Regions from separate parts of the Mus musculus genome. Here all the other regions are reported to be linked to region 2. Evidence: microRNA targets listed by miRTarBase, many of them from high-throughput screens and not tested one by one. Region 2 holds a microRNA gene; each other region holds the end of a gene's coding sequence.
The links. Region 2 holds the annotated microRNA mmu-miR-410-3p (AAUAUAACACAGAUGGCCUGU, at 2,173-2,193, shown strand). A microRNA usually pairs through its seed, bases 2 to 8, with sites in the 3' UTR of a target mRNA and lowers its output. Matches are read on the target gene's strand: a 7mer-m8 pairs with bases 2 to 8, a 7mer-A1 pairs with bases 2 to 7 and ends in A, and an 8mer does both.

Region 1 (4,182 bases), not on the chromosome of region 2:
TTATAAAACATATATACTTACATATTTTATTTTAATTAAATATATTTATGTGTGAGCAAGTACGTAGCACACAGAAGTCAGAGGACAACCGATGGCTGTCTGCTCTCTCCTTCCACCATGTGGGCCTGGAGAAGTGAGTCAGGCTTGGTGGCAAGGGCCTTTTACCCCTGAGTCTGTACAGGGGTCTGACTGTTTTTGAAACAGGGTCTTCTGTAGCTGAGGCTACTACATTCTGCAGCTCAGGAAGGCCTGGCCTCCTGCCTCCCAGATGCTGATGCCAAAGTGTCAACACCTCACACCTGGCTTCCAAAAGACCATTTCTTTCTTTTTTGTTTTTGTTTTTTGTTTTTTTTTTTGGAAACAGGGTTTCTTTGTGTAGGCCTGGCTGTCCTAGAACTCACCCTGAAGACCAGGCTGTCCTAGAACTCATAGATCTGCCTGCCTCTGCCTCCTAAGTGCTAGCACGCTGGGCCTTGCTTTCTTCTTATGACAATCTATTATTGAACCTGCGATTTACCATTTGACCCAACTGGCTACTTATCAAGTCCTGATATCCACCTGGCTTGGCCCCCTCCCCCACCCCCAAGTGCTGAGGTTATAGACACACACCTTCAAGCCTGGCTTTTATGTAGGTGCCAGCTATTTGAAACTAGGGTTCATGTTCCCACAAGCAAGAACCGTACCCTGAAACTGGACAGAGGGCTGTGAATCAACCCAGATTTGTAGGTCTTTAATAATTAAAACGTTTTTAAAAAGCTGGTCCCCGGGGCTGGAGAGATGGCTCAGTGGTTAAGAGCACTGACTGCTCTTCCGAGCCAAAGGTCCTGAGTTCAAACCCCAGCAACATGGTGGCTCACAACCATCCTAATGAGATCTGACTCCCTCTTCTGGTGTGTCTGAAGACAGCTACAGTGTACTTAGATATAATAATAAATAAATCTTTAAAAAACAGCTGGTCCCCTTCCCTAAAATCACAGACGACCCCACAAGTACTTACCGTGAACTTTTGGCTTTAAGAGATTTATTTATACACTTGAATTACCCCAGAGAATAAGGGCGGGGATCTAGAGCTGGGGTTTGCTACAGAGCATGTTTTCTTTTTTTAAACTTTTTTTTTTAAAGGAAACAAAACATACTATTTGTGGGGGGGAAAAGTAGAAAAAAGGAAATAAAATAAACCCCTGGCAGCCTTAGAGAGGCTATTTTTTTTTTCTTTTTCTTTGTGTGTGTGGGTGTCGCGGAGGGAGGGGTGGGGGCGGGGGGCTTCCTGCAAAAGGAGAGGTGCCAGTGTGCGGAGCCCGCCTCTTTCCCGCCTTTTGGCTTTGGCCTTTTGGGGGAGGGCAGCTGTCTGGCAGTCTGAACTTCCTGTGTTTGGGAAACCCGGCTGAGGTCTTACATGAACATTCGCCCATTGTTCTTGAGGAGAGTGAGGTCACAGTAACTTTACAAGCAGCTGTTGCAAACCGAGACACCAAGTGTTCTGCCCCAGCCATGATCAAGGAGGTTTTCAGCAAAGCTTTCCTTGAGCGCCAAGAAACCGGGCTCCCTGGAGTATCAATAAACCCACATGCTCCCGCCCTCAAATTCTTTCAGTTGGAACCGAGCCCTGGGTCCGGGGAGGGGGGCCATTGTCATGTGGGCTATGGCTGACTGGGATCAGGCAGGAGTTGGGGGAGGGGGAGATTGTCATGTGGGCTATGGCTGACCATGGTGGGCAGGGCTGCCTCCCGGGACCACTATGGTTCCTGCAGCCTATCCTGCCCTGGGACATTTCTCCAGTCAACTCATTCTGACCCAGGGACCGAGGTGGCACCTGGTATTTTCAAATTCCTAGCATACTGAGCAGACCCTGTCGAGAACATGGATTTTGGTCTTAGCTTTGAAGTGAAGATGAAAGCCCACCATGCCAAACTCCTTTCCAGGAAGGAATGGGATCTAGGAGGCCAACGCAGTTCTAACAGGAAATGATGTAATGCATCAGGCTTAGGGCAATAACAGGTCAAGAAACCAGTCAGGAGTTGGTCAGAAACCAAGATGCAGACTTCCGTTAGTACACCTAGGAAGGGGCAGGGACAAAACTGCATTGTCAGACCCTGTTCTGGTCTTGTTAATTTCTTCAGTGATGGCGTCAGCTAAGGGAAGATGGCAGATGTGGGCGGAGCGTAGAGCGTGAAGGAGAACAGGGGCGGGGCCACCTGGCCTCAGGCTGCTGATGGGGCGGGGCCACCTGGCCTCTCAGTCTAATATACAGATGAGGAAAACCAAGGTTTGTAGTGATAGGTTTTTTTAGGAACGCCAGCTCTGGTGATAAATATCCTTGGCTTCTAGTGCTCCCGAGTCATATAGAGATGGTTTATAAAGCACGAGGAAGTGAGTTGAGAGACAGCATAGTGTGCCGGTGTGAGGGTAGTCCTCTCAGGCTCTTCCCCTCTCGGCCTGGGTAGTCACTGACTGTCCCGTGTCTATATATAAAGCCAGTGGGACTGCTCCGAACTGGCCAGTCCCCAACCTGGAGCATAGAGAGGTTTGAGCGCATGATCACAGGCCTCTTCCCCATCTTTCTCACCAAGGCTGCATGGCCTTGTGTGCCCTCTGGTCAGTGACATCCTCTGGGCTTCAGATCTACACAGGTCACTGTAAGTCACCTTCTAGCCAGCTCCTCCAGGGGAAGGGCACAGAGCCTCATTAGAGCACCCGAGGGTCCCTGGACCTACCCACCAGTCCACCCGAAGGATTATAGAGAAGCCAGCAAGCACAAAGGGGGGGCTGCCACACAACAGTCACGGTGGGGAGAGGCCTCCACGTTTTATTAGGGATGCTGCAGAAGCAGGGCTGCTTTTCAACAACAGATAAATTAACCGCAGTGCGGGTAGGGGTGGGGACTGGGCCAGGCGCTTATATATATATATATATATAAAAACAAAGATGAAGACAGACAAACAGACCCCACGATGTGGGGAAGGGAGGCAGCACCATTCAGACAGCAGGGAGGACCAGGGCAGAGTGAAGGCGACTTGTCCCCCTCACCCCCAAACTCCATAAGCCTGGGGCTTCCAAAATCAGCCCCATGGGGGCTTTGGGGCAGGGTTGCAGCCAGGTTGGGCAGAGGTGGCACAGCTGGCGGGCAGGAAGCCTAGCACCGCAAGATGGCTCGGCCTGAAGTGGGAGCTGGGACAAAGCAGCCTGGAGCCCCCGGTCCCGTAGAGCAGAGCCTTACTCTGGGGGAGTCAAGGGACTGGGGATGAGGTCTCTCCCTGAGCTGAGCATGGTTGTCGCATCCACAGCAGCAGTGGCATACGCCAGGGACCCCCCATCGCCTTCTTATCCTCTTTCTCCTTGGTCCCTTCAGGTCAAGCTTCACCGGCCCAAAGGCGTGGGGCGTGGAGCGCGGAAGCAGGTCGTTGAGGGTCCCTAGCTCCAGAGGAACTGTAGTGGGTGCGGTCCCTCAACCCTGACTCCCACAGGAGGATAGCGAGTCATAGAGGGAGTCACTTAGGGATTCTGAGGTCTCCAGCCCGGGGGCGCCCCCGCTGGCCACTCGGCCTTCCTCGCCCATGTCCGACGTGCTGGGGGTACGACTGCCTCCAAATGCTGGGCCCTGAGGTGTAGATGTGCGGCTGGGATCCACGCTCTGTTTTCGGTCTACGGGCAGGGCCTAGAGGAGAGGTACTGCTCAGAGAGGAATCGTAGCCACCCTGACTGCTGTGGGGGTCCACAGAGGCAGGAATAATGGAAGCCTTCTTCCAAAATGGGATGGGTGGGCGAACTTATCCTCACCTCCAGAGGAGGTGCTGGCTGGCTGTACACAGCTCAGAGACATCCATCTCCCAGTCTCTCCCTCCAGGCACCCAGGCCTCTCTCTCCTCCCTTCTGTGGCCTTACCATGGGGGTTCTAGGCAGTCCCTCCAGTTGTCGGGGTGGGCACAGGAAGGGGTCGCTGGAGCTGCCAGCTGTTCTGGTGTTGGGGAAGGTCCAGTTCTTGGCCAGCTGGACAGGTGGGGGAGGGCCTGGGTCTTCACAGGGATCTGTCCAAGAAGAAGGGGGAAGTGGATGCATTGGTCCGGCTCCAAGGAGCCTCTTAGGGATGCCCTACCACTTGAGGGGACACTCACCATCGGGACAGGTCTGATGGCTTCGGTGGCCTGGGGGAGCTGTGAGCAGTCCAGGGAAGGCTGGCATGCT
Region 2 (4,174 bases):
AGACTAGAGCTAGTGGGGTGATAAGAAGGACTGGTCACCATGTGGGTTTTTTTTTTTAATGTGGCTAAACTTTATTTTCCCATCCCAAACCTTTACAGAGAGCTTCATGGAGTATTCAGAAGCTGGCGGGTGTCACCTGGAGGATGTGACTGGGTACCAGTGCCAGAGCACGTGCCCACTGAGCAGTCTTCTTCACTTTCCTCGATCCTCATGAAACATTCCGGGTAAGACACTGGTTCTGGGGAGTCTGCTCTTGCCGAGCAGTTGGTACCTGGAACATTCTAGGGCCTGCCCTTCCTTGGGTTTCCATGTTGCCAGCTCCCAGGGCTAGGCTTAAAGACGTACCCATTGTTGGTGCTGAAGGGCTAGGCCCGTACGGGAGGTCATTTTAGAGTGGATGTATCCAGGGTCTAATATACTATCTGGGGTGTGATGAGCACCAGGTTTCATGGTGGCTCTCTTTCCAAAAGGATCTTTACCTCAAAGGACTCCAGAGGCTACATCATTGTCTTGGAACTGGTCAGTGGCTGGAGCTCTCTCCAGGACAAGTGCTTGGAGGAAGAACCTGGACAAGCTTCCCTCCCCATACTGTTGACTGGATCTTGTAGCTACCGTTAGCCACCATCATCGCCATTGTGTGCCTCTTAGGAGCATTTCCAGGAGGTGATGCCAGCTGGGGAAAGAGCCTCTGTCCCACAGGTCAGTTTCCAGAACACCTACATGAAGCTGCCCGTGGCGTCTTTTCCCCGTATGACACACTGCATGTGACCAGTCTCTTGCTGCCCTGCAGCAAGGCTAGAAGCCTGTGTGAACTCTTGCCAAAATCAGAGAAGGGATTCTGATGTTGGTCACACTCCAAGAGTTTTAAAATGAGTGGCGAACACAGAATCCATACTCTGCTTATGGCCTAAGTCAATGGATCCTGACCCTTACTGGAGAGCCCTCCCTGGCGTGCTCGTGCGGGGCAGCCATACACACTGGCACAAGGGGACCCTGCGGGATCTCCTTCCGCTGTTCTTTCTCTCCTCCCTCCATGTTTATCTTTGAAGCATTACTTGCTTGGTTTATAGGACTGGATGGTCAAGCAGTTCTTGCTATGACATCACCGTGGGGGGAGGGGGCAGGTGACAGGGCGGGGATGCCAGGGTCGTGGGGCTGCAGTGGTTGGGTGGGCCCAAGGAGGAGCATCTCTGGATGATGCAGTCATTGCCTCCTCGCTTCTGGAAGGCATCGTCTCTGGGAGGGTGGTGTGGTATATGCGCAGGGTCTCAGCATCTCCCTATCTCCAGCTTACAAAGGAGAGATAGAGTAAGCAGAGTTCTGCACCCACTTCTGCCCCGAGTCAGCTCCTCGCTACCTGGGTCTCAAGGTTGTCTGGGAAGGCTTTAGATATTCTTGGAAGGTGAAAGGGTGGTAGATTGCACTGGGGAGGTGATGGAATAATTGCTTTCACGTGGTGGAGGGTGGCTCCTCACTGAATGGGGAGTTATAATCTCTGAGGGGCTCCAGGATGGTTCTTCTGGAAACTCAGCCATCGGCCTCGTTCTGAGCATCCGAGCCTCTCCGTGGTACTCGGAGAGAGGTTACCCGAGCAACTTTGCATCTGGAGGACGAATGTTGCTCGGTGAACCCCTTTTCGGTATCAAATCCCTCCAGGGAGGCCACCTCAGGGAAGACCATGGACTCATCTCGCTCTGGGGTATGGGACGGATGGTCGACCAGCTGGAAAGTAATTGTTTCTAATGTACTTCACCTGGTCCACTAGCCGTCGGTGCCCGCTGCAGCCTGCGCCCAGGATGTCACAGCCTCAGCTCAACACCTCTGCTGGTACTTGAAGGGAGATCGACCGTGTTATATTCGCTTGGCTGACTTCGAATAATACATGGTTGATCTTTTCTCAGTATCAACGCTCAGCTTGGAGAAGCTCTTGGAGTTGCAGCCCCTGTGGGGGTGGGGACAGCATGGTGCTTCTAGGTTGCTGCCTCCGCGGGGAACTGGGCTGGGTGGAACAGGCTGTGTGCTGCCTGTGTCAACCCTACTCACCATTTATATGCAATCCCCCCCTTCCCCCCAGGACAGCTTCAGGTGGTGATTCCAGCTCCAGGGTTGCTGCGGTCAACACTGGGTACTTGAGGAGAGGTTGTCTGTGATGAGTTCGCTTTATTAATGACGAATATAACACAGATGGCCTGTTTTCAATACCACCTGCCACTCCGGTCACTCGGCAGTACATACCAGGTGTCACACCACTGCCCGGTAGGTAAATGCATGGACTCTGTATGACGCTTGTCACCCCCTCTTCACTGAACCTCAGCTCTGAGGAGCCTCCTGGGATCGCACCAACCTTGTAGGCTGGGCCACGAAGCATTGGCCAGATGTGCAATGGATGGCTGTCCACTTTCCATGCCTCTTTCCCGCCACAACAATGGGTGTTTGTCCCTGTCTAAGGCTTCCACCGAGGGCTGCATGCTCAAATGCCCTGTACCCTGGGTGCTTCTCAATACCATGAGGGCTTGGAGGGGCTAGCATGATACTTAGGGAAGAGCCAGGCCAGTTGGTTACACGTGCAGTTCCTAGTATCTGAGGTGAGATTGCCCGTGACGGGTTTCCATTCTTAATGCTGGTACAGTGCATGGTCACCTCTCTTTATCATTGGCTCTTACTGTGTGAGCATGGGTGTCAGGGGAGGGACACACTTTGCTGACCCACTGGACACCACTGATGGTCAGGCATGTAGCTGACTCATCCTGACCCAGAGCCTCACATCTCCTGAGGTGGGGGTTGGGAAGTCCAGAAGGGCATCTTAGAGGAAGAAGCATCCTAAGTAGAGTCCGTGCTGGTGGTACCTGAGCTAGCTTGTCTCTGAGACGTTTGTTTTCTATCTGATGACTATCCCACAGCCTACTTCTCTGCACCATGTCCTACCCTAGACCATTTCTACTTTGAGGCATTGATGCCAAGAACTGAAGCCTTTGTGTTGGTTGACTCTCTAGTCTGTATGTGAGACCATCCCTTGGCCTGTCTTGTCCTCAGTGCCACCCTGTTGGAAATAGCACAGAATGTCCTCCTGAGTCTACAAGGCAGTGATACCCAAGCTCTGTCCCTGCTTCACGAGCACAGGGGGCCCAGTAGGGATTAGCCTGCACTTCTTTTTTTTTTTTTTTTTTTTTATTTTTTTTTTTTTTTTCATTTTTTTTTTATTAGGTATTTAGCTCATTTACATTTCCAATGCTATACCAAAAGTCCCCCTTACCCACCCACCCCCACTCCCCTACCCACCCACTCCCCCCCTTTGGCCCTGGCGTTCCCCTGTACCGGGGCACACAAAGTCTGCGTGTCCAATGTAGCCTGCACTTCTTCATGTTTCCTCCAACTTAACACTCTGGCTCTGTCAGACTCCTGTGAGCTTACTGTAGAGGCTTGACCTAGAGTCTCAAGGACCCCAGAAAGTACCTGATCACACCCAGTAGGAGCCTTTGAAAGACAGGCTATAGATTTTTGGTATTTAGTAAGGCTCCCCAGGGTGGCAAAGAGCTCTTTCTGATTGGGCTTGCTCCCCATTGGAGCAAGTAGCACCCTCACCCTGGCAACTCCACCCTGCATGCTTTTTCTCCTCTTCTGGGCCTCCTCAGCAGCAAAATGCTCTTCCAACAGAGATAGTGGCTGCGCACCCTGGCTTGTACCTAGCACATGGTCTCCTTTAGATTTCTTCTCTTGTTCAGGATGGTCTGCCCAGGCGCCCTCTCTCTGGGAGTTGGTCCTGGTTACTGTCTCCCACAGTCCATCCCCCTTCCTTGGTCCTCAAGCTTGTAGGCCCCCTCCACAGGAGTTCAAGACTCGGAGGGGATCGTGTTCCCTGCTCTGCAGTGACAGTGCAGGCAGCCTGACACTCTTATCCAGCTCCTTCCTTTGTGATATGACATCAGACTGCTTGTCAGCTATGGCTCCCCAGGTGCCTGCTTTCCCAAACTGCCTAGTACCTTGGTTCCCAGCCTCTCCCTGACCCCAACCAAAACAAAACAAAACAAAACAAAACAAAAAAAAAAAAAAAAGAAGAAGAGAAAAGAAAAGAAAAGAAAAGAAAAGAAAAGAAAAGAAAAGAAAAGAAAAGAAAAGAAAAGAAAAGAAAAAAGCTTTAAGATTTCCCAAGGCAGACGAGGACCTTTCCTTTGCG
Region 3 (4,185 bases), not on the chromosome of region 2:
AGGAGGAGGCAAAACAGAAGACAGTGGAACTCAAAGACGGGAGGGTCACAGATGTGTTTGTTAAAAGGAAGGGGAAAAAGTTTCTACGGTTTGCTCCAGTCTCCTCTCACCAAAAGGTCACGTTCTTTATTCATTCTTGTATGGATGCCGTTCAAGTCCAAGTGAGAAGAGATGGGAGGCTGCTTCTGTCACAGAATGTGGAAGGCATTCGGCAGTTTCAGTTAAGAGGAAAACCCAAAGGAAAATACCTCATTCGACTGAAAGGCAACAGGAAAGGAGCATCAAAGCTGAAAATACTGGCGACCACCAGGCCCAGTAAGCATGCATTCCCCTCTCTTCCCGAAGACACAAGAATCAAAGCTTTTGACAAGCTACGTACCTGCTCTTCAGTTACGGTGGCATGGCTTGGCACCCAAGAAAGGAGAAAGTTTTGTATCTACAGAAAGGAAGTGGATGGAAACTACAGTGAAGACCAGAAGAGAAGAGAGCAAAACCAGTGCCTAGGACCAGACACCAGAAAGAAATCAGAGAAGGTCCTTTGCAAATACTTCCACAGCCAAAACCTGCAGAAAGCAGTGACTACAGAGACAATCAGAGATCTGCAGCCTGGGAAGTCTTACCTGCTGGATGTTTACGTCGTAGGACATGGGGGACACTCTGTGAAGTATCAAAGTAAAATTGTGAAAACAAGGAAGGTCTGTTAGTCACCTTGAGTGAAGATCAGGAGAACTCCAGGAGAGACATGGAGTCACACTGCTTGTAACTGACTACTCTCGTGACAAACAAAAGTTGTACTTGAAAGAAAGGGTAACAACATGTGTACATTGATGCTTGCCTAATGTAGCATGGAGACTTGTACTCACGCACACCTGTGGTACTTAGGGTCCATCTGTCTAATGCTGGTTAATGTCAAAAGAAGAGGGTATCTCAATGGATGCCACCCCTTGCTTTGACCATTGCATGAACTGCTTCTAAATTATTTTATTACCTAAAATTTTAAAATATGCCATTCGTTGCACACATTCACAAATGCAAATAATTCCTCTCTATAGATGTTAGGGGAAGTTTATATATAAATATATAAATATAAATTATTTTATAAAGTCTGTTTTAATTGTTGGTGTTTCTATTATTGTAAGCTATTAAATTCTTTCTCTGTTAAAGTATAGATCTAATCTAAGATCGTATCACCCTCTAAGCAGTAATATTGTTGTAAATTCTTATTTGTTCAGTAAAATGTTTAAATGCTGTCTGTATGTATCTCATGTAAAAAGTTGATATACATTATATTCATGTATATAAAATTAAGAATATTAGATTATTACACTGTTCATTTTCCCAAGCAGTACTGTGGTATATTCAATTGCTTATCTGTCCTTAAAACCGTGCTTTTTCTGTAAGTTGGCACCAAAATTTAGTCTTATTTAGTAGCTAGGAGGTAAATGTTGGCTCTCTCGATCTTTACTGGCATCAAGAGCTGGTTATTCAAGTCTGGATTTGGGAACTCAATGGGAGACGAAGAACTGTAATAGGCTTGTTTGAGCATAGAACAAGGCAAACACTATCAATCTGATAAGCGATCATTTTAAACATTTATTTTCCATTTGCTTAAATTTTGGCAAATCTTTTAACGGCTTGCTGAAGCAGGTGAGAACCTTGATTAGGACTTTCATCAGTCACAACACAATGCTACATCTGCTGCTTACAAGATTTATAAAACACTGCTGCAGGTAATTTTATTTTGAGTTTTCAACTGTTTTTAAAGTTAATTTTAGTGTAAGATACAAGTCTAGCAAATAACATCTGCAGGCTCTACCAAGGGAGCATGGGGACACTTTTATCCTCTACAGATTTTACTTGGAAATTCCAAGGCAACATGAGACCATAAAAGCAAGATTCAGAAATACTTGTAATTGTTGGTCACCTAAAACCATATGACTTTAGGAGAATGTTACTGCCCACCATCCCCTTTCCCATTTATAAAGTTGAGGAAGTGGTAGAAGTGGATACAATGACACTGTGAAATACCTTCTGACATGAGAAGTTGCCGTTTGCAAAATCCTGACCCTAAACCCTTACATTCTATGGCTAGAGTGAGAACAGGCGCAATGGTTCCTCTTATTGCTATCCACTGCATGCCGGCACAGCTTTGCTGGTGAGAGTTCACAGCAGCATTTCTATGGGGTATAGGAATACTGTGGCAGAGATGGCGTTGTATATAGTTCCCTATGACGTGTGTTCTGCTTACCTTAAGGGAAAGTACAAGCGTTATGGCATACCCTCTAAATCCTTGGCAGTAACTTTCAGCAAAATTGATCCATCTGTGCAATGCAGGAACAACATCTGAAATAACTTTTTGGAAGCTGACAACCATGTACCCAATGCTTTATTTAAGCAGCTTCAATAAAAGGAGAGACTGACAAATTGACACTCAGAGAAATTATATTCAGCTATAGATGTGAGAAAAGCAGCTTCCTAATGCTGCTGAGCAACTTGTAAGTGGGACTGCAGCGAATCAGATTACTGCTGCTTTGAAGGTCTGGGATCTTGGATACTGCCTAACTCTCAGCATCTGGGAACCAGGTTGAACTGATTTTAAAACACTTTGAATTTTCTGCTAGGCGTGGTAGTAGTTTCTTCATATTGTGGACAAATACAGAAATTCTCTAATGACCCTAGGATAAAAATTGCCTTTTCAAGCTAAGGAAAATTAAACACACATCATGAAAGGCTTACTGCTTATAACAAAGGGAAAAGCCTTGAAAATCATGCCTCACTGATGTGCTAAGATTTCAGGAGTATCCAGTGGACTAGGGACAAGGAAGGGACTCATTCATTCACATTTTAGAAATAACTACACGCTTGCTAATATAAAAGCAAAACCTGGCCTACGCTAATCTCTGAGAGAACAATAGACACTGAGAGGGATGGTACCCAATGCCATGTGTAGACGGATATTGAGAAGAGAAGGCTTGGAGATATTTAGCTCATTATCTTTCCTTTTCAAGTACAATGACAGAGAAAGAACAGAATATATTTAAAACAAGAGAAACAAAAAATAAGAAAGTTTTGCCCACACAAATGTATACCAGGAGACAGAGGCAAATGGAGTTCTGTGAATTTGAGTTTCAGCCTGATCTATTTAATGAGACCCAGGCCCACTAAGGACTACAAGGTGAGACTCAGTGCAGAAAAATTAAGCAAAGCAAAACAAACAAACAAATGGTTCTATAGTTGAATGAGTTAAGCAAGTTATGTCATAGACTCCAAAATGCTTTCCGAATACAAGTCATCAAATTTTGTTTGAAAAAATATTCACTCATAGGTGAGTTTTTAAAAGTAGTCTTTTAGTGTAATTATTCTTGTTTCTTAAGAAATGTGATGTCTATAGTTGATCACTTCAAAGTTATAAGAAAATAATTTTGAAGATGAATTATTTCTAGTATATGTTTGCATACACAAAGCTAAGACTAGAATTTTATTAGTCTATTTATTAATGTATATGCAAACATACATTAGAAATACTTTGTCTCCAAAACACAACAGAATTTTAAAACTAACTTGTAATCAGTATGTAAATTTTTATGTCTATGAATATTTTTTCTGCATGTATATCTCTGTAACAAGTGTGTGCCTGGTGTCTATGGAGGCCAGAATTGGGTGTGAATTCCCTAGGACTGTGGGTACAGATGATTGTAAGTCACCATGCGGGTGCTAGGAAATTTACTTCAGTTCTCTGGAAGAGCAGCCAGTGTTCTTAATCGCTGAACCATCTCTCCAGCCCCTAATTCAGTTTTTAAACATGCATTCAAAGATTAGAGCTAAAAGGCAATGCTTTATTTTGTTGCCCCAAATCCATCTGAAGTAACTAATATTTCTATGTTCTGAAATGATGATTGTTCAGGTTAAACTGACAAATTTTAGTTTAAGGTGATGAATTCAAGCTACACTTATTTCTTCCTTAAAAAATATTTAAATTTTTTTGTATATGTATAGATGTTCTACATGCACACATGTCGGCAGAAGTCTGAAGAGGGCATTAGATCCCTTGGAACTGCAGTTACAGATGGTTGTGAACTGACATGGGGATTTGGGGAATTGAACCTGGGTCTTCTGGAAGAGCAGCAAGTGCTCTTATCCACTGGGCCATGTCACCAAGCTGATAATGTTTATTGATTACTTTGT

Region 1: miRTarBase lists Nckap5l as a target of mmu-miR-410-3p. Seed matches in the 3' UTR shown: 7mer-A1 at 2,911-2,917.
Region 3: the mRNA of Ndnf is a reported target of mmu-miR-410-3p. Seed matches in the 3' UTR shown: 7mer-A1 at 1,067-1,073.

Annotation. Positions count from the first base shown.
Region 1 is chr15:99,419,254-99,423,435 of GRCm38, forward strand. Nckap5l (NCK-associated protein 5-like) reads right to left here. Exons shown (of 13, transcript NM_001001884.1): 11 at 4,113-4,182; 12 at 3,883-4,025; 13 at 2,781-3,655. The coding sequence ends at 3,446. Among named protein-coding and RNA genes, the nearest start is that of Nckap5los, 11 kb to the right of the region's middle. RefSeq lists an enhancer at 701-2,304.
Region 2 is chr12:109,741,592-109,745,765 of GRCm38, forward strand. It overlaps Mir410 (microRNA 410), which reads left to right and starts at 2,124; the gene lies at 2,124-2,204. Mirg (miRNA containing gene) reads left to right here. Exons shown (of 8, transcript NR_028265.1): 3 at 99-224; 4 at 471-699; 5 at 1,766-1,827; 6 at 2,075-2,256. Mir541 (microRNA 541) reads left to right here and starts at 818; the gene lies at 818-907. It overlaps Mir409 (microRNA 409), which reads left to right and starts at 1,567; the gene lies at 1,567-1,645. It also overlaps Mir412 and Mir369.
Region 3 is chr6:65,703,742-65,707,926 of GRCm38, forward strand. Ndnf (neuron-derived neurotrophic factor) reads left to right here. Exons shown (of 4, transcript NM_172399.3): 4 at 1-3,189. The coding sequence ends at 704. Among named protein-coding and RNA genes, the nearest start is that of Ndnf, 34 kb to the left of the region's middle.